2 linked regions of the Caenorhabditis elegans genome follow. The protein of the gene in region 1 binds, or shares a complex with, the protein of each later gene. Each region holds a gene or a part of one and is shown on either strand. Other genes may lie near its edges. The genes, in order: mrg-1 and sin-3.

Evidence for each region.
Region 2: mrg-1 (region 1) and sin-3 share a complex: the UniProt entries of both Caenorhabditis elegans proteins name them as parts of the SIN3S complex.

The regions. Positions count from the first base shown.
Region 1 is NC_003281.10:12,865,703-12,876,245, forward strand, and holds mrg-1 (Mortality factor related protein 1), read right to left. Parts: upstream 8,953-10,543; coding exon 8,458-8,952; intron 8,399-8,457; coding exon 8,250-8,398; intron 7,330-8,249; coding exon 7,110-7,329; intron 5,966-7,109; coding exon 5,816-5,965; 3' UTR 5,572-5,815; downstream 1-5,571. Other genes in the region: Y37D8A.8 (LITAF domain-containing protein), read left to right, coding at 1,282-1,317, 1,364-1,429, 1,616-1,792; spcs-2 (Signal peptidase complex subunit 2), read left to right, coding at 9,329-9,409, 9,464-9,925; cec-7 (Chromo domain-containing protein), read right to left, coding at 10,165-10,470, 10,522-10,543. UniProt on the Caenorhabditis elegans protein: Protein involved in the remodeling of chromatin thereby regulating various processes including transcription, chromosome synapsis and genome integrity.
Region 2 is NC_003279.8:8,412,996-8,422,978, forward strand, and holds the start of sin-3 (Paired amphipathic helix protein sin-3), read left to right. Parts: upstream 1-3,835; 5' UTR 3,836-3,836; coding exon 3,837-4,511; intron 4,512-4,899; coding exon 4,900-5,186; intron 5,187-5,455; coding exon 5,456-5,612; intron 5,613-5,724; coding exon 5,725-6,027; intron 6,028-6,426; coding exon 6,427-6,861; intron 6,862-7,352; coding exon 7,353-7,487; intron 7,488-7,533; coding exon 7,534-7,632; intron 7,633-7,958; coding exon 7,959-8,351; intron 8,352-8,401; coding exon 8,402-8,521; intron 8,522-8,589; coding exon 8,590-8,690; intron 8,691-8,883; coding exon 8,884-9,072; intron 9,073-9,120; coding exon 9,121-9,264; intron 9,265-9,662; coding exon 9,663-9,812; intron 9,813-9,858; coding exon 9,859-9,951; intron 9,952-9,983. Other genes in the region: F02E9.7 (Tartrate-resistant acid phosphatase type 5), read left to right, coding at 297-371, 976-1,066, 1,529-1,630, 1,674-1,825, 1,886-2,235, 2,512-2,659, 2,706-2,827, 2,872-3,091. UniProt on the Caenorhabditis elegans protein: Probable transcriptional repressor required for the deposition of dimethylated 'Lys-9' of histone H3 (H3K9me2) on asynapsed chromosome pairs (both autosomes and sex chromosomes) during meiosis, but this does not seem to solely affect the transcriptional status.

The sequences.
Region 1 (10,543 bases):
GAAGTATGCTTAGGATCGTTATCCTGCTGAAACACGAAGCCACGGCCCACATTTTGAAGTGCCCAGGGTCGCATTGTAGTTTCCAAGATGTTTTCGTATTGAAAACGATCCATAATGCTTTGGATTCTCCTTAGTGGGCCCATGGAAGTGCTGGTGAAGCACCCCCACACCATGACGCTCCCACCTCCATGCTTAACGGTTGGGCATTGATACTTTGGAGAGTACCTAGAGCCAACAGGACGACGTACCCAGGAATTTCCATCACTCCCGAACAAATTGAACTTGCTTTCGTCAGACCAGATGTGTTTAGCCCATTCCTGACGTCCCCAACGAAGATGCGCTTTTGCCCACGCAACTCGAGCCATGCGATTTTTCTTACTGATGAACGGTTTCTTGACTGGCTTTCGTCCGTGTAGTCCTGCTTGCTGTAAACGTCGACGAACAGTTCGTTTACTTGGTACAGGTTCATTTGGAGAACTTATAATCATTTGAATATCCGTGGCGGTCCTATGCGGATCTTCTCTTGCTGATCGGAGGATGTTGCGATCCATCCTATGGGTTGTCACTCGAGGCCTGCCGGGCGAGATTCTCAAAGCGACGGATTTCTAAACATTTATTATTAAAAAATAATATTTTTCGAACTCACCTCAGTTTGGTACTTCTTGATTACTTTCCAAATAGTCGACGGAGAACGTTGAATTTGCAGCGCGAGCATTTTCGTGGGTATTCCTTGTTCGAAGCCAGCTACAATGGCTTTCTTGACGTCCAAGGAAAGATTTTTACACCCAACAGATTTTACCATACCTTAAAAATAATTTATCAACCAAACAAATCCAGTGCAACAAAAAGAGTGCGTTTTATTGATAATTCAAAAAAAATAATGAAAATTGGAAAAACGAAAAAATCAAAAAATTGAAATAAAATTCAGAAAAAATCGATAATCATGTAATGTTTGGTCCGCAAATTTGCGTAACATTTCGCTTTATGCACACGGAAAAATTCAAGTCAAATGGATGCTTGAGAAAAAAGTTACACACAAAAAACCAAAAGTGGATATCTTTTTGGCCAGCACTGTATAAGGCTTAGGTCGTCTTCCGGGCAGGCACAAAGGTTGCCAATTTTTGTGTGTTTACAAAAATCACTCAGAAAATCGCATTTTTTTTACGGCTATAGAATTGCAATGTCAGGCTGCCCCATTGCGGCTTGATCTACAAAAAATGCGGGAATATACTCTAAATTCCCGCAATTCTCGGAGATCAAACCTTATACTTGAGTTTTCAGAGAAAAGAAGCTGGACAAGTCGTCGTGGCAACACCGGTAAAAAGATAATAAACCAATTCAAAACATGGATAATTAATTTCAGTACATGTATTACGAGAAAGTTGCTCCATCATTCAAACCCTACCAGGAATATTGTCCAAGATGCAGAGTGAGTGCTCTACTTCACAAGCTTATATCTCGGTTGTCTTTAGTTTTATTTAAACAATTTTAACTAACAAAATATGCAGAAAATATTTCTCTATATTTTCTCAGTGAAAAATTTTTTGATAAAACCCAAGCCAACCGAGATATAAGCCCTCAAAGTAGACACATTTTCAAACAACAATTTTTTCAGTGTACCGTTGTGACAGTTGTCGAATACGAAATGGGATGTTTCGCTTGGCTTATTATCATATTGATTATCTTCGTCGCCTTTTTCCTCATCTACATCCTTTGTTGCATTGATATCCGTGACGCAATTCATCATTGTCCGAACTGTGGAATGGTCCTGTCGCGTAAAAAGAGAGGATAATTTTTGAGAATCTCAACAAGTGAAAGCCCAATTCGTGTACTCGTTTAAATTGCACTCAATCACTTATAACGTTCGGAATAAATATTTTGTCGGGGTTTCTTGGCGGGGTAAACCACCTCGTCCCAGACTTGTTGTTTTACTGTGCGTCGCGTGTCGCGTCGCGGTTCTGTTCTCGGGAATACTAGTTCGGTGCACCATGACCTCATCAGTCGTGTCGAGATTTTTTAAATAATTGGAAATTTTAAAATTTCTATTTTTCTTCATTTTAGACATCAAATTTTCCTGAGTTTGTTAAGCACGCCGAATTTGCCGACCTCGGCAAATTTTGAATTTTGGCCACTTTTAACATCATCCAGCAGTACATGCTGGTGGCCTGCAATGCTATCGTGTTTCGTTCAGACCCAAAAATCGGGGATCAGGGCCACCCTCTTACTCTTAGAAACTTTAGGCCACTTCTTTCCCTACTACCAGCAGAGCAGGCCTTCAATGAGACTACGTATGCTTTTGGAAAGACCAGTCTATCCAGATTGAGGACCGCAGGCCCGAATACACTTAGAAAAAACCAAGGAATGATATTATCTTCGAATGACTATGGCTCAGTCAATTTTGGTTCAAAACAATCCGAATTTTCCCCAGTTTTCCAACTTAATTTTCTGCAAAGCGTAGCGCGTTAGGTGCGATAGTCCTTGTAAAGTAAAAAGATTGAACCAAAAAGTTGAACAGTTAGAAATTTAAATTTTCGAAGCTTTACCCGAATTCCCAATTTGTTTCAGTTTATGGTAAAACCTTTCACTAAACTCATGCCACTGTGAACTGTTGGGAAGATCCCACCGAATCCTACAATGTAACAATCACTGTAAAGCAAAAAGAGTGAACCCAAAATTTGAACTGTTTTTTCAAAAACTGGAGATATTTTAATTCTCGCAGTTTTTCTCAATTTTCCAATTTGTTTTTCAGTTCATGGTAAACACATTTTACTAAACTCATGCCGTCGTAGACAGTTGGACAAGTCCACAGAATCTACAATGTAACAATCACTGTAAAGCAAAAAGAGTGAACCCAAAATTTGAACTGTTTTTTCAAAAACTGGAGATATTTTAATTCTCGCAGTTTTTCCCAATTTTTCAATTTGTTTCAGTTCATGGAACAACCTTTTTTACTAACAATGTACAAAAGAAGAAGAGGGGCAGACAGCTCAGTCGGTAGTGGTGGCCGCTAGCAATCTTGAGGCCATGAGATCAAGATTGGATCAAGATCTATCATGAGATCAAGATCTATTGGGAAGTAGAGTAATCAACGACTGGACTATCGGCCATATTCCCCGGCTAGGACGTGGCTTAAATTACAGCCCAGTGGGATCATCACCAGGCAATGTACCTGACTCCCAGATCCGCAGTGCATAGCACTTGAAGAACGGATTGTCCTTTTAATCTTTCAAAAAGAATCGAAGGATCTCCCGTGTGGTTGTGGGGACAATGAGAGGGAGGCTTAGATCACCACCTAACCTGTGGTAGATCGCAGCCCTATCCACAAAGAAAATCTGTGGACGTCCTCAAAGAAGGCCGCCCGTGCCCTCGGACTGGCCAACAAACTTAAAGGGTGGAGAGGAACACTAATGACGAGCGACTGAAAATGGCGCTAGCGTCACGTTTTCGCACATTAACAACAAAGAAGCCCACGGCCCGAAAAAAGCCCAAGCAGCCCACGGCTTAAATTGCAGACCAATTACCATACTACGAGTGCTCCTTTTCGCTCCATGAGTCGTCGCCGCTGTCGTCCTTCCGTCCAACCTTCGTCCAACAGTCCCTCCGTCCATCCGTTCAATCAATTTTTGCTGGAGTATCTAACGCATCTGAAATTGAAAAATATTAATATTTGATTTCAAAAGCCCACGGCCCAAGAGAAGCCCGAGAAGCCCAAGAAGTCCACGGCTTAAATTGCAGACCAATTACCTTCCTATGAGTGCTCCTTTTTGCTCCATGTGTCATCGTCGATGCCACCCATCCGTCCCGTGCTGGAGGATCCAACGCGTCTGAAATTGAAAAATATTATTTATATTTTACTTTTTTAAAGCAAAAATGGAAGACGCATAGCAGAAAAAAATCAATCAATATTTTGAAAAACGGGGAAAAATGCCCAGAAAATTTTACAATTTCTCTAGCCAGAAAAAAATTGGAAATTGTTATTGTTTTAAACTACAGTAATCCTACAAAATTCCTACAGTACTATTACGGGAGCACTACAAAATTTTGAGAATGCGTATTGTGCAACATTTATGACGCGCAAAATATCTCGTAACGAAAACTACAGTAATTATTTAAATGACTACTGTAGCATTTGTGTCGATTCACGGGCTCAATTTTCGTAATGTTATAAACACGTGTGCGCCTTCAAATAAAAAACAACATTTTGTTGACGCGTTTTAAAACATCGAAAAAAATTGAAAGAAACAAAAGTTTGTAACTACAGTACTCCTTAAAGGCGCACACCTTTTCGCTTCTCAGAAAAACTTGCGTCGTTTCGAAACCCTATACTTTAATCTTAAAATCGATAAAAACGCGAAGTTTTGCGGTGAAACATTTGTCAACGTGCAACTCGAAAAGAAAAAATCACGAAAAATCAGAAAATCCATTCTGTGAGAAAAAAAAAACAGCCGTACTCCAAGCCACCCATTGGAAAAAATGACAAAAAATGCAAAACAATTCCTCACCTGAACAGAGAAAAAATGTCGCGTTGAATGAGAGAGTGGGACGAAAAAGGAGTAGATCAAAAAATAAATGTTTGTGGCAGGTCTGGAATCTTTCGAATACTCGTTTTAAAATCATTTTAAACACTTTTAAATCATTAAAATTAGATTTTAATTAATCAATTTATTAAAATATCAGTTGTGGTAAAATTTAACTGCGCCATCTGATAAACTGATTTAAGATTGTATTCGCTGCCGCTGAATTAAATGTTTTGCGCGTCAATTAAAATGCCTTGTACGCGAATGCGCGTCGCCTGCAAACACAAACAAAATGCTCCTAAAACTGGCTATTCTTGCCAAAATCTTCGACTGCGTTGAGATGATTTCGGCGTTTCTTTTTTTTGCGAAAATTCGGTCATGTAGAAAGTGTAGAAATACTTTGCTAAATATTTTTGATATTTTAGTCGAAAAATTGTATCAAAGAAAATGACCGAATTTTCCCAAAAAAAAGCGGCTGAGCGAGAGGAAACCCTTTTGGGATGTTTTTTTTTCTTTGAGACTCAAAAATTTCTTTTCAAAAAAAGACAACTTCTTGTAATTTTTGAGAATGCGTATTGAACAACATATCCGACGCGCAAAATATCTTGTAGCAAAAACTACAGTAATATGACTACTGTAGTGTCGATTTACGGACCCGGATTTTTGAATTGTTTGAATAGTGATAGAAGAAAATTAAATATCGCTGTCACTATTTAAAAATAAATTCAATTCGAAAATCGAGCCCGTAAATCGACAAGAATTTTCGCTACGAGATATTTTGCGGGTCAGTTATGTTGTTCAATAAGCATTCTCAATATTTAACCATCTTAATCATGAAACTTCAAAATCGGAAGAAAAAAGTATATTCTAATATTCAAAAAAATCTTCAGTCTTCCTCTTCTTTCCAGTCTGGCACGTGGAATGCGAGATGGAATAGTTTTGGGGGCACGCAGACATTATATCAAATCTCGATAGGCTAAAAATGGCGGGGAGTTGGAAGAGAAGAAGAATCTGGAAAAATATGAATGTGGGGGGCTATTGAAAAGAAAATGAGAATCATATTCATTAGAATAGTTGGGAAACAACTAAACGGAAAATTGAACGATAATGGAATGCGAAATGTGGAAGTCGTCAGAAAACGTGAGATTAACGTGAACAAAATATGGATCTCCACGATTTCACAAAAACATAATGGTGGGGCTAGCTTTGGAAAATAATGAACAATGTATAAAATTATTGAAGTTATATCGGTGTATTGAAGATCGTCTGGGATGGAACACATGATGAAGGAGATCAGTCTATTGATTCGCTCCAACTCCGTCGTCGGCGGCGAGAGATCGGCGATAGTAGTCGTTGGAGGCACCTTGATAATCAGACGATCCTCTGTAGTACTTCCCGTGATTCTTATTCAGGAACACAATCAAATCGTGAACTCCAATCATGATGCGCTGAAAATTGATTTATTTTATTTTTGGAGCATGGGACTACGCTCAGTGGGGAAATTGCTTTAAAACACGCCTATGGTACCACAATGACCGAATATCATGATTAAAAAAATTCAAAAAAAAATTTCTAGATTTTATATGATTTTTCGAAAATTGAAAAAATCTCAGTTTTCACCTAATTATTTTTGAATTACCGTCAATTGGATTTGTTCGATGGAGCGCGCTTGCATTATTTTCATTAATTAATTTTATTTTTTCTCGTTATTTGGCTGGTTTTCTTCATTTTCTATGCTTTTAAAAAGGACAAATGCGAAATGTTTGTTAAAAAGTAATTGAAAATGAGTAAAACTGTGAAATATACTAATCTCAGGCTTGTCGGAACTCAGAATATCACAGTTTTACGCATTTTCAATTACTTTTTAACAAACATTTCGCATTTGTCCTATTTATTTCTTTCATTTTCCGAGGAAAAAACATAGAAAATGAAGAAAACCAGTCAAATAACGAGAAAAAATAAAATTAATTAATGAAAATAATGCAAGCTCGCTCCATCGAACAAATCCAATTGACGGTAATTCAAAAATAATTAGGTGAAAACTGAGATTTTTCCAATTTTCAAAAAATCATATAAAATTTATAAAATTTTTTTGAATTTTTTATCATGATATTCTGTCATTGTGGTCCCATAGGCGTGTTTTAAAGCAATTTCGGGCTCCTGAATTCACGGAAAATCGTTTTTTTTTGCTATTTTTTATTTATATTAATGTTGAGAAAAATGATACGCATTGAAAAAATGTAAATTTTGGAAATTTGGCCTCAAACTGGATCGAAACCGTCAGTTTTTCGATTTCAGGATCGTAAAATATTCAATTTTGTGGAGAAAACGCAGATTCACAAAAAAAAATTGATTTTTAAAATTAAACAAGGCAATTTCCCCATTTTTCAATTTTAAAAATCAATGTTTTGTGAATCTGCTTATTCCCTACAAAATGGGATTTTTTATGATCCTGAAATCGAGAAAATTGACGGTTTCGATCCAATTTTCGGCCTAATTTTTCCAAATTTTACACCTTTTCGCCAAAAAAAAACAGATTCCGTGTGGAAACCAGATTCAGGAGACGCTCCAGGAGTTGAACTTCGAACATACGTTAATAACATGATCATTCCATTGAGTGAGCTTCAGGTAGTCCGGGAGCTTTGCGAGCATTCTCAAGAAATGCACAATTCCGTACTCTTGAGATGGACGGAATCCACTATCCTGCAGGGCGGTCGGGTTTGTGATGTCGATTCCCTTCTCCATAGCTCGCTTTTTGACAAGGTCATTGTACTGTGGCCGCTCGAACTTATAGAGCAGTTGGTAGCTGGAACTAAACAATTCATCCTTACATCGTAACTGTTTCAAGTGGGATTGGGGCGACTATTCTACGAAGCGGAGGGCATTATGTGTACTCACTGCTACTTTTATCGAACGAGGGACGAGGAAAAGCGGTTTCTAGGCCATGGCCGAGGGGCCGACAAGACTTAGCGGCAATTTATCTTGCTTTGTTTTCCGCGTGTTTTCTTTTGTTTTTCAAAAAAATTTTCCGTTTTTTCTTATTAAAACTAAATAAAAGATAAATAAATATTTTTGTAGATGCCAAAACAATTTCCAGGTGAAAAAATTGTGTATTCAGTCGGCAAGAAGCGGTGAAAGTGGTCAATGTTATATGATGGATTACGGTAATACTAAACCTAATCGTTTTTCTGAAACATGGCATTTATTCTGCTTAGAGACTGAAACTATTCGATTTTCATAACGAGACCGCTCAAAAAGTTCTGAGATTTTTGCACAAAAAGTTGAATTTTGAAAATCTCAAATCTTTTTCAGCGGTCTCGTTATGATGAAAATCGGGTAGTTTCAGTCTCTAAGCAGAATATATACCATGTTTCAGAAAAGGTTTAGATTTAGTATTCCCGTAATCCATCATATAACATTGAGCACTTTCACCGCTACTTGCCGACTGAATACATAATTTTTTCACTTGGAAATTGTTTTGGCATCTGCAAAAATATTTATTTATCTTTTATTTAGTTTTAATAAGAAAAAAACGGGAAAAGTCTATGAAAAATTAAAGAAAACACGCGGAAAACAAAGCAAGATAAATGGCCGCTGAAACTTGTCGGCCCCTCGGCCATGGGCTAGAAACCGCTTTTCCTCGTCCCTCGTTCGAAAAAAGTTGCAGTGGTACTAAACATTGGGCTACGTGCAATTTGCATGCATCTGTTTAACATATTCGAATTAACCAACCCCAAAGTGACATTAAAATAGTCGACGAGTCCACGCGCGGTGCAAATCAGAGCCAAATTCGTGATTTTTATATCAGCTTCCTCGTATTCGATGAGCAGATCATCGACCGTTCTCATTTGCTCATTACTGACCGGAATGGTTTTGATGTACTGAAAATGTTGGATTTGAAAATCGGAAAAAATGATATTTTAATTTTTTTTATGCTTACGTCCTCGATGATTTGATCAACTGAATACTCGTGTGGCACGATGTTTATGAAATAACGGCAGACAAGATCGTAGTCATCGATCAGGATCTTTCTCAGTGGCTTCGGAAGCTCGACCTTCATATCGTCGGCGGTCATAACCGGCGCAATTGTCACCGATTTCGCCTTTTTTCCCTTCGACGTCCCCGGAGTGTCATCACGATCGTCTCGTGGTGCTTCAGCCGCAAGACTTTTCTTCTTCGGCTTCAATGCAGTTGTTGGCAGCTCTGCGTTGTGTTTCTCTGCATACTCCGAGGCTGTTCCCTTGAAAATGCGGTCTTTCTCCTCGCCGACTGGGATTTTCTCATCGTATCGATTGTTCCAGCCCTTGAAGTGAACGCAGTAGAGTTCCTTGCCATCGCTGTTGGTTTTGATATCAGTAATTTTGGCATCGTATGGTTTGCCTTTGTAGATGCACGCGACGTTCTCGCCGACTTCGAAGTTCTTCTTTGAAGACATCTGAAGGAATTAAAGAAATTAATCGATTAATTGGTGTTTTAAGCGAGTTTTAGCAGCAATTCTAGCCAATGATGTATATTTGAACGATTTTTAATCAAAAAATAGATTAAAAATATCGAAAATTCGATAAATTTATCGATAAAAACAAAAAAAAAGCTTTTCTCAAAGCTCAACGGCATTTTCGCAATTCAAACCCCCCTGCGGCGCGGTTTTCTAAGCAAATGCAATAGCGCCGCGCACGAAAAAGTACGCAAACACCACGACGCAATAATGCAGACTTCCAATTTTGAGACGTCACCACTAGCTTTTTGCTCATTTCTTTTGGGTTTTTTTGGATTTCTATTCAATTTTTATTCTCAAATATATTAATTTTCAGATGACGGACGAGCCGGTGAAAGTTGTGAACAAATGGGACGGTCCAACAGTGAAGAATGCCCTTGATGAAGTCGTCAAAAAGGTTTGCTCTCCGAAACTCCAAAATTAAAATTAAAATTAAAATCTTTCGTTTCAGATTCTGAACGACAAAGTCGGATGGACGGAATCGCATAATCTAATGAATCTGCGTCTTCTCATCTCATTCATCGGCGTCGCGTTCTCCGCGTTCGCCTGCGGCTACGACTACTACGAGCCGTTCCCAAAGTCGAAAATCGTGCTCGCCGTGTGCTCGGTTTCCTACTTCATATGCATGGGAATTCTTCAAATGTATCAGTGGTACGTCGAGAAGGACTGCATCTACGAGGCCACCGAAGTCGACGGAAAACAATCGAGAAAATGGGCGTGGAGCTCGGAGATCAAGGCTCACGACGATAAGTACACGCTGTCGGCCGAGTTTAAGAAGGAAGGACGCTCTGGACAGGGAAAAATCACGAAATCTATCGGAGCTTATATCGATAACGATGGAGAGATCATCGTGCCACTTGTGAAGAAGGAGGTCGACGACTTGTACAACCGCTTGATTCGTAGCGAACAATAATTTATTTAATTTATCTGGTTTTCTTGGCCTAATTTATTTCCCCTTTTCTTCGCTTTTCATGGGTGCCCCTTTCTCTCTCCATCTATCCTGTTTCTTGTCTGTCAAAAGCTAATATTTCCAGCATTTTATACAATATGAACTTGTCAATTTCGGTAAGAATTCATTGTACAAATAGCTTGAAAAGAACAATTAACAAACACAAAATTTTAGCAATTTAACAATTTATTAGCAGATCCCATCTACTTCTTCATCTCGAGCATCTCTGCGTACTTCGCGGCCGAGCCCTTGAACAATCGACCCTGCTCCTCGCCGACTGGAATTTTCTCATCGTAACGGCTGTTCCATCCTTTGAAGTGAACGCAGTAAAAATCCTTCCCATCAGTGTCGGTTATGATGTCAACGATGTACGCGTCATATGGCTTTCCGTTCTGTGTGCACGTGACTTGCTCACCGATTATGAATTGTTCTCTACGTTTTCCGACTAGCCGCGGAGCGTTCTCTTTCGTCGCTTGAGGCTCTGTGGATTTTTCATGGTTTCTAGCGGACTGAAAATGCAAAATTTATTATTTAAAGCTTCAATATTCTCTGAGCAGTACCTTGCGCATTGTGACAACTGGA
Region 2 (9,983 bases), on another chromosome or scaffold:
ACAGACATTGTTCGTCATTCTATATTCGCTCAATAACACGCTCACACATCCAGTCGTTATCTTCGGAAAATATCTGGAAAATAGAGAAATCGATGCCCAACTTTTGAAAATACTCATTTAATTGCGGAACGCTTAGTAATTTTTCTCAAATCTAAGAAATTACTCAAAGTTTCGAAATTGTTTGAATTTCCTTCCACCGATGTTTTCCTCAAATTGATAAATAATTGTATAAAAATGAATAAATTTTTATTAATTTCAGGTCAGAGCACCCTCAAGCTTGAAGAGTTTTACCGAAAATGCTGCTTGTTGATGAAAAATTGGAAAAACGCAGTAGCTCGTCATCACTTGATCGATTTCTTCCTGATCTTCCAGTAAGTCTTGCATTTTAAAAAATCAATAACTTAATATAAATATATAAAAATTTCAAGTAATTTTTGCACGATTTAGCTTAAAACATTTTTTTTAATTATTGAAAATCATTGACAATTCGATAAGCTTGCATTTTCTTCCTTCTCAAAATTTTCTCACGATTAAAAACATGAGATAAAAATAAAATAAAATAAAGTTCCGATGAATCATAAACTTCCCAAAAACGACCGATTTGCATAAAAAAAGGGTATCATTTCATGAAGTTTTATCAGTTTATTGTGGTTATTGTTGCCCTCTGAAAAAACATTCAAATTTTATATCAAAAACATATTTTTAAAAACAAAATTTTAATATTCCAACAGATAAAACTAGTAAATCTCGAATTGTTTAAGGCCAAAGAGTAATCCCTTTTTGGAAATATAAGCCTTTTTAATAGGCTTATATTCCAATTCATGACAAATCAGTTCCGCTTGACTATTCTCTTTTTTTAACTGCCTAGTATTGTTTTGAAATTTAAATTTTCTAGAATTTCAGATTACAAATGTTTTTAACACTCAATAAGTTGAATTTCTCAAAAATCTTTTTTTTCAAATAAATTTATTTCAGCAAAAAGTGAAATCTCGACGGAAAATGCGAAAAATCATGTGTTTTGTGGGACTTTTCGGCATTTCGACAATCTTCTTCATTGCAGTCTCCAGTTGGTTTTTCATGAGGGATTTAGGTGGTTTTAGAGTGCACTTCTTACTAAATTATTAATTTTATCCTAATTTTTAAAACTTTTTTGTTAAAATTTAATTTTTTTCTCTCGAAAGAACGAAACATTTTTGTTCTCCGATTTTTAAATTAAATCGAAAAATCGACATCTTTTTTTATAATTCTGAAAATAAATACACATTGGGACTTTTCAACTTCACTCCGAACGAATCCGACTCACTGATTGATTCAGAAGTGGGCGGAGCAGAGTGTCGATTGGTGGTAGATCTCATTTAGAAGAAATGACATTTTAAAAGTTGAATTTTTTGAATTTTTTTTTCCAAAAATTTCTACTTTGTTAGTTTTTTTAGTTCAAAAACCCTCACTAGCACATCTAACCTCACCTACCCGAATTAGCTCTTGACCCAAAATTCAAGTTAAATCTCATTTTATTTTATTTTTTCAGACATTTCATCGTCGGAAGATGTTCCGCTTTATAATGGAAATATTTACGATCCGGAAAGAGATTCAAAAAGTTTTCGAATTTTGTTAGTTGGTGATACAGGAGGTATAAAATGATTTTAGAAAAAAGTGTATCTCTAGTAATTCAGGAATTCCAATATTGGAGACGACTTGGGCACAAAATGAAGTCAAACAGACAATGGCATCATTAGCAGATGAACATAGTGTTCAAATGATATTAAATATGGGTGATAACATATATTTTACGGGACCCACTGATGAATTTGATCCAAGATTCGAGGTTTGTACTTTTTTTTAACCCAAAATTTTAGTAAATCCCTCTAAATTTAAAATATTTCAGTCACGTTTCGAAAATGTCTACACGAATCCGAGTCTACAAGTTCCATGGCTCACAATAGCCGGAAATCATGATCATTTTGGAAATGTGACCGCCGAGATTGAATATACAAAACATAGTAAAAAGTGGTATTTTCCATCACTTTACTATAAGAAATCAGTAGAATTCAATGGTACTTCTATCGATTTTTTAATGATTGATACAATTTCCTTATGTGGAAATACAAAGGATATTCAAAATGCTGGTTTTATTGAAATGTTACGTAATGAATCACATGATCCACGTGGTCCTGTTAATATAACTGCCGCTGAAGAACAATGGGCATGGTTGGAGAATAACTTAGAAGCAAGCAGGTTAGGAATTTTGGATTTTTTCAAAAAATGACCTCGCCACGACCTTTTTGTAAAATAAAAACAGGTATGCACCTTTAAAGTACTGTAATTTTTAACTCTTGTTGCGGAATTTTCATCTATTTTTAAATTGTTATATTCAAGATTAAAAAAAAAGGCGCACATTTTTGCATTCAACAAAATTTAGTCGTGCCGAGACCGTGCATCTTATGCCTGGCCCAGAAATCGGAAGATTTCGCTTCTGGGTAATGGAAATTTATTTTAAAAATCCTCTTTCAGTGCCCAATACCTAATAATTTCTGGTCATTATCCTGTTCATTCTATGTCATCACATGGTCCAACTGACTGTTTACGTCAACGTTTGGATCCACTTTTAAAACGATTTAATGTGAATGCTTACTTCTCAGGACACGACCATTCGTTGCAGGTTTACCTTAGTAATTTTAATTCAAATTACTTTATAAATGTTTCAGCATTTCACTTTTCCCGGGTATGGAGAGCATATAATTAACTATGTTGTGTCTGGAGCAGCTTCTCGAGCAGATGCATCAACGAAGCATATTAAAGAATTCAGTAGGGATACGTTGAAGTTCAAGTGAAGATTGAAAGCATTAAAAAGTAATTTCAACAAACTTTCAGTTATCCGGAAAAATCATGGTTCTCGTGGTCACCAGTTTCGCAGCTCGGATTCCGTAAAGGCGGCTTAATATATGCAGAATTTGGACATTACAATGCTCGACTCGATTTCTTTGACAAAAGAGGAAAACAGCTTTATTCGACGATCATCCCCACACGTGTGATCCCGACGGATACATCGACACGATCAACTGCCTCACCGTTTGTAGAAATAGGAATGTAATTAATTATTTAAGCAGTTGAAATTCAATTTTTTGAATATTTATTGAACTCCCTCATAATTTCATGTATAATATATCTTGAACGGGTTGAAAATAAAAATTTTATTTATTTGTTGGGCTCTAAATTGTAATATTTAAATTATTTTTTGAGCTCCGCCACCTTTTTAAAGGTTATTCAGCGTACTTCGTTAAATTATATTTCCGGAAAATAAATTCTCTGCGTCTCTTAAGCTGTATGCAAACGCGCTCTGAAAGGCAAAAGCGAGAGAGGAGAGGCAGCAGAGAAACGAGCGCCATTTTCAATACTTCACAGGATTTACGAACAAAATGTTCTTTTTTTTGTTAAAATTTCAAAGTGTAACGTTTTTTAATCATACAAACATTTACTAACAATATTCCTATCGAATTTGAAAACTTTGTAACATTAGAAAAACAAAAATTCTACTGTTTCGTAACAATGTCTCATTTTAATCAAAGACTAAAGTTTTCTCAACATTTGAAAAAGAATTTAAGTAAATTTTCTTTCGATTTTTCAGCTATATACGGTTTTCAAACTTTAAGTTCAATAATACAAAATCAAATGATTGATTTTTAAAAAAATTGAAACTGAACGTTCAGCTTGAAACAGCGTTGGAAATTTAAGGATGTGCTAAAAAAGCAAATCAATAAAGAAACTTATTTTTGTCTCTTTTCTCTATTTTCTAAAACTTCTCACTAAAGGTAACTTTCCAAAGTTAGATTTTCAGAATGTACAATCCACCACCTGGAGGCGGCGGTGGCAACAATGGAGGAGATCAATCTCAACAACAACCTACAAATAATGCGACGTTGTTTTTATTACAAATGATTCAACAATCACAACATCAACAACAGCATCAGAATCAACAACAACAACAACTGGAACTTCAAATACGTGATCAAGAGCGTATTTTGATAGAACAACAAAGAATGCAACATCAACAACAACAAAATCAACTTCTTCAAGGACTCAATCAATTTCCATTTAATCCTTTAGGATTATTTCAAGTACAAGCTGCTGTTCAAGCAGCTCAGGCACAATTTGCACAAAATGCTCAAGGTTCTCCAATTCCTTTTCATATCGGTTCTCCACTTCAACCATCACATTCACCAGCAGCTTCTGCTCTTCAGCAACAATATCTACTACCATCTCATTCACCGGCAATAACCCCATTTGCTAGAAATAGTGAAGCTGCAAGAAATATTGAACAATTTATTGCACAGGAAGAGGCTGCAAATGTACCAAGGGCCAACAGTCAACAACAATCTCCATTGATTCGTCCGATTCCACAGCAACAAGCTTTGAATATTCAAAATCTCACATCGACTCAACAGGCACAACAAATCCTGGCCCATCATCGTCAGGTTCCCGTTCAACAAGTACAGCATCAGCAGCATATTCCCGTAAATATTTATTTGATTGAAAATTAAAAAATGTCTGAAAATTGGAAGGTCTGAACCTTTCTTTATAGAAAATTATATTTTAAAAAGTTAGAAAGTACTGTAGCGCCAAACAATTTGTCCTTCATTTCTGCTTTCCCGAAATTCGCAAACCTAATATTTCTCAATTGAGCTCAAAAAATAACAGAATTACTTTTGTTTTTCAGCATTTCGTAAGTTTTTTGAAGAAAATGTGTAAAAATTTGAAGTTTAAGACTGTTTTCAAATATTAGATGATGATATTTTATCAATGAAATGCATGTCTGAACTAAAAAAATTTATAGCAATTGACAATTTTATATTTACGTCAATTTAACAATTCATTCCGAAAACCAATAAATCTATTTTTCAGACTCCTCCACTAGCCCTTCCAATTGCTCAACAAGGACCAATTTCTAATGAAGTTCCTTCAGTTCCTCCAGTTGTTCCAGCAACTTCTGCAGGGTGTCCTCAACGTGAGCCTCGTCAACAACAAGGTGGCCGACGACAAAATCGTCCAGGTCGTCGAAAGAAACCAGAAGGTCCACCACGTGTTGATGAAGCTCTCGCCTATCTGAGAGTTATTAAAAGTACTTTCTCATCTGATGTACCCGTTTATCATCGATTTTTGGAAATTATGAAGGATTTTCGTGCTCAGAGGTAATTCTGAAAATTTGAATTTTATTTTTGAAGGTTGAAAATCAAAAAAAATTGTTTTGGTTTTTCCGGGAAAACAAATATTCTTAGATTTACAAAAAACTTTAAAAAAACATTTGTTTTGTTCAAACATAAGATAACATAATTTACTTGAAAAGGCAAAAAATTTCAAGCTATCTTCCGAAATATCGTAAAACCGACACATTTGATGCGGATTAAATTTTGCTTTATTTAAATCCAAAAAAAAAAACAAATATCTGTCTTTTTTGCAGAATTGAAACACCTGATGTGATTGAACAAGTAGCAGAACTTTTATATGATTCACCGGAACTTGTTCTTGGATTCAATACTTTTCTGCCAACTGGATATCGTATCACATTGACTCCAGATCGAAAATATGTTTTTTCTTCGCCACAAATGCAGCCAAGGGTTCGTTTGGATATTTAGATTATACTAAAAATCTGATTTGAAAATAGTTTTAAAAATCCAATATCCACACAATATTGTTTTGCCTCGAAATTAAATTACAAAAAATTTGAAGGTTCTGCTATCGCCTGACGAACGCCGAGCCCGTGCAATTGAAGCTGGAGCACAAGCTGTAGGAGCAATTGAGTTGGGTTCTCAAGAAGGAATATCAAAAGACGAAGACCGTACAATTGAAGATGAAGATATGGATAAAAGTAAAGAAAAAGATGATGTAGATGGAATTGATGATGAAGATGATGAAGAATCTGGAATAGAAGATAAAAATAATGAAGAAATGATGGAAGAAGATAATCATTTGATTGAAGAAATTATTTGTGATGATAGAAAGAAGGATGATTGTGAAGATTCACAACAAGAGGTTTGTGTTGTTTGTTTGAAAACAAAAAACTTGAAGGTTTTTAAAATATTTGATTTTAAACATATCTGAAATCTTCTTTGATAAATTTTAAAAAAATACATACCAACGTTTTCAGATTTTTCTTCAAAAATAAAAATCTTCTAAAATTTTTACTTTTCTGTATTGCCTTCACTGATAGTTGCTGGTTTTCCCAGTTCTTCAACGATGGGCGATTCTCTTGCTCGTTTGAGCTCTATATCTTTCTTTGTCCTGGAGTGTTTACTGTAGCGAAACATTGTTGTCTTTTCAGTACATTTTCTTAGCTATTTATTATTGTATATCAAACTTCTGCCTTCACAAGCCATAATTGATCTAGAAAACATGTAAGTGCCATGTGAAAAATTTAAAAATCGTTTTCAGATCGAAATGTCAAGTGAATTGGCTGCTCATACACTGAACATAATCGAACTTCTCAAAAAATCGTTTCTGGCTCGCCCGACGAAACTTGTTGATTTCATGACGTTCATTGACTTCTTCATGAGTGATCAACAATATAAAAAAGATATGGAAAAATTGAGAAAAGATGATGAGGATGACGAGATTGAAGAAAATGAGAAAATCGAAGTTGATGATGTTCCAGGACCATCCAATGCACCACAAGAAATCAAAAAACCTGATGATATTGAGAAAAAAGATTCATCGAAAAATCTGCAAATTGAGGAATCGTGCTCAGATTATCTTGTCTCAATGCTTGCTAATTGTTGTATTGGAGAACCTGATCTTCTTGCAGCAACTATTGATTTTCTTCCATATCTTGGGAAACTTCTTGTTAATGGATCTGATGCGATAGCATTGGTGAGATAATGTATCCTATATATGATTTTTCATAATAATTAAAAAATATTCTGAAATTCCGAAATACCAAATGAAACACGAAAAAGCGAGGAATAATGAAAAACCACAACTTTCCAAATTCAAGAATTTTTCGTTTTTTTGCATGATTTTTGAATTTCAGAATATTTGCAGTATTCTATAGAAAATTTCCCATTCACGAAATTGCGAAAATTTAAAATTTAAAATAGAAATATCTAAAACAATTCAAGTGAACTATCTAATTTAATTTTCAGTTTTTAATATTTAAATATATTTTGAAATAATTAATTAGAAAAGTAGACTTGATATTTGTTCATCGTCGAAAAATATCATAGATCAAAAAAAAATCTCAATAATCATGCAATTTGCCCTTGATCTACCAACCAGTTTTTGTAAACAAAACGCCTTTTTCGTTTTTGAAAAAAAAAACTATCATTGCAAATCAATATTTTTAAACCTTTTTTCTTTTCCAGAAAATCAAAACAATTCTCCATTTCTCCGCCACCAACGATCGTAACGATATTCCACCTGTAAATCGTGTAAATCCATCCGATGTCGACATGGATTTAGTGAAACAAATGGAAAAATGCAAAATGGGGACTAAAAAGGTTTGCTACTCCTTTTAAAATTAAATAAAATGATTAAAAATTTCAGAATGAAAAACTGAAACTAAAAGTTGCTGGGCAAGGCGATGAAGGAGCAACCGTGGAATTGATGATACTCAAGAAATCATACAGAATTCTTTATGAAAGGGTTTGTTTTAACGGTGGAGTAGCGTAAATGGGGATTTCGATTCAAAATCCAAATTTGTCAATAAAATCGCCGAAGACAAAAATATTAACGGTAATCGGCGATCGCCGATCGCCGTGTTAAAAATTATTATCGGAAAAAGTGTAGAAAAATTACGTCACACATGTATTTAAATACTTGAAAACAGGTGTGACGTAATTTTTCTACACTTTTTAATTTTCCAACACTACTTGAATAACCCCATAACCCATTAAAACAAAATCCAATTCAAGCCACTCGCCCTCTAAAAGTTTTTATCATTTTGCTTATTCAATAAACTTTATTTTCAGCTAAAAAGTCGAACAACACCGAATCAACTGTCTCACCTGATGGTTTTGATAAATGCCTACGCAAATTTGGATATAACCCGAGAACAATTGATTAGTGAACTTCCAAAGATCATGGGAACATCTGGTTCTGATCTTGAAATGATTATTCTCCAATTATTGGGTGCAGAAAAAGAACCAAAAAATCGACCAGAGAATGATATGGATGCAGTTATGAGAAAAGATTTACCTGCCATTCAACCAAAACGAGGTCTTCGTGATCAAAAAATGTTGCAACAAGTGAAGAATGTTGAAGCAGCAACAGTGTGTACACTAGGTCCTAGTTATCGATTTATGAAGGATACGAAAGCAACTGATTGTAGTGGACGTGTTGAGCTGGATGATGATCTCAAAGGAGTATGGAAAATTACACAAATTTAAAAATTTTATTTGAATGATATTTTCAGGTTCTCAATGATACGTGGACATCAATACCATCATGGTCATCTGAAGATACTGGTAGTCAGGCGATTAAGAAATCGAATTTGGAAGAATTTCATTTCAAAACCGAGGATGAACGTTATGAGGTTTGTTTTTTTTCGATGTGAAGACAATTTAACAAATATTCAATTAACAAGATTATTTAAAATTTCAGCTTGATATTATTGTTGATTCAAATCGAACTGTCATCGAACAATTGTCAAAAACACTTCGAGATTACGAGGCGATGAGTGATGAAGATAAGAAGTCGTTCAAGTAAGTATTCAGATATTATATCTACAAAAATACCACATAAAATTGAAAAAAAAAATTATCGAGGACCTCTTAGAAAGGGATTCTGCTACACCGAAATTCTCTGTCCGAACTTCCGAAAATTATTTAGAAAATATCAATTGTTTTTTGAAAACGAAACCGAAAATTTGTTTTCATTGTAAAAAGTGATTTTCAGATTGGACAAATGGCTCAATGCTTCATCTCGATCCACCACAATTCGTGTTCTAGCAAAAGTCTTCACAAACTCTGCTCAAGATTTCATTGATGCTGCACAAAAGAATCCACTTGTAGGTTTACGACGAATTCTTGAAAGTCTGAAGGAGAAAGACTTGCTGTGGAGTCGATTCCAACAGGATACTAACAGGTTTTTTACTTAATTTCCCTCAAAACTTTCTAAAAATATCAATTCTAGAACATGGAGAGACGCTTTGGACAAGCAAATGTCGGCTGCAACGACGATTTTGAATAATCAACACAAGAATTACGATCAAAAAGCGTTCAAGTCGAAGCCTCTTGTTAATCAAATCGAACAAATCTGTGAGGAAAGACGGAAAAAGTTTGTTTTTTTTTCTTTAAAGGTGGAGTGGCGTTAATGCTTAAAAAAAATCCAAAATAGTCAAATTCAGAAATACAATCAAAGAAAATCGAAAGGAAAACAAGAAAAAATTGGAATGCCAATTATTAAAACTTTTTTCGATTTTTTAATTGTGACCTAATTGAATTTTTTCCATAATGAGATCTGCGACCAATCAGCGATTCGCTCCGCCCATTTTTGAACCAGCCAGATGAAGTGTGCAGAGTTCGAAGATGCTGATTGGTTACAAAGTTGGAGTGGATTCTTATTCTGGAGGGAATTCAAACAGGGAACTTAGCCAAAATTTAAGATTTTATTTCTTTTGCGAATTTTTCCGTTTTTCTTCGGTTTTAAAACGGCATAAAAACCTATATTTTCAGTAATAGCACGGACACTTCTCCACATTTAATTCTGGAATATACACCGGAACGAAAAGTGTATAGAGATGTAAATGACGTCACTGGTCACTTTTTCCATGATCTTTCGGGAACGAAATGTGATAGAGATCGAACGAAAATTGTCTTATTCAGGTAATTTTTTATGAAAAAGAATAAAATGTTAAGCCCCAGAAAATAGTTACAGAATCTTGATGGAATGGCTTTGTCAGGAGGGACAACAAGTTCAAATTGATCTGGATAATGGAGAAATATTCAAATTTCAAGGAGATTTGTTCGTTAAAAAGGGTTTAAAACCATTTCGGA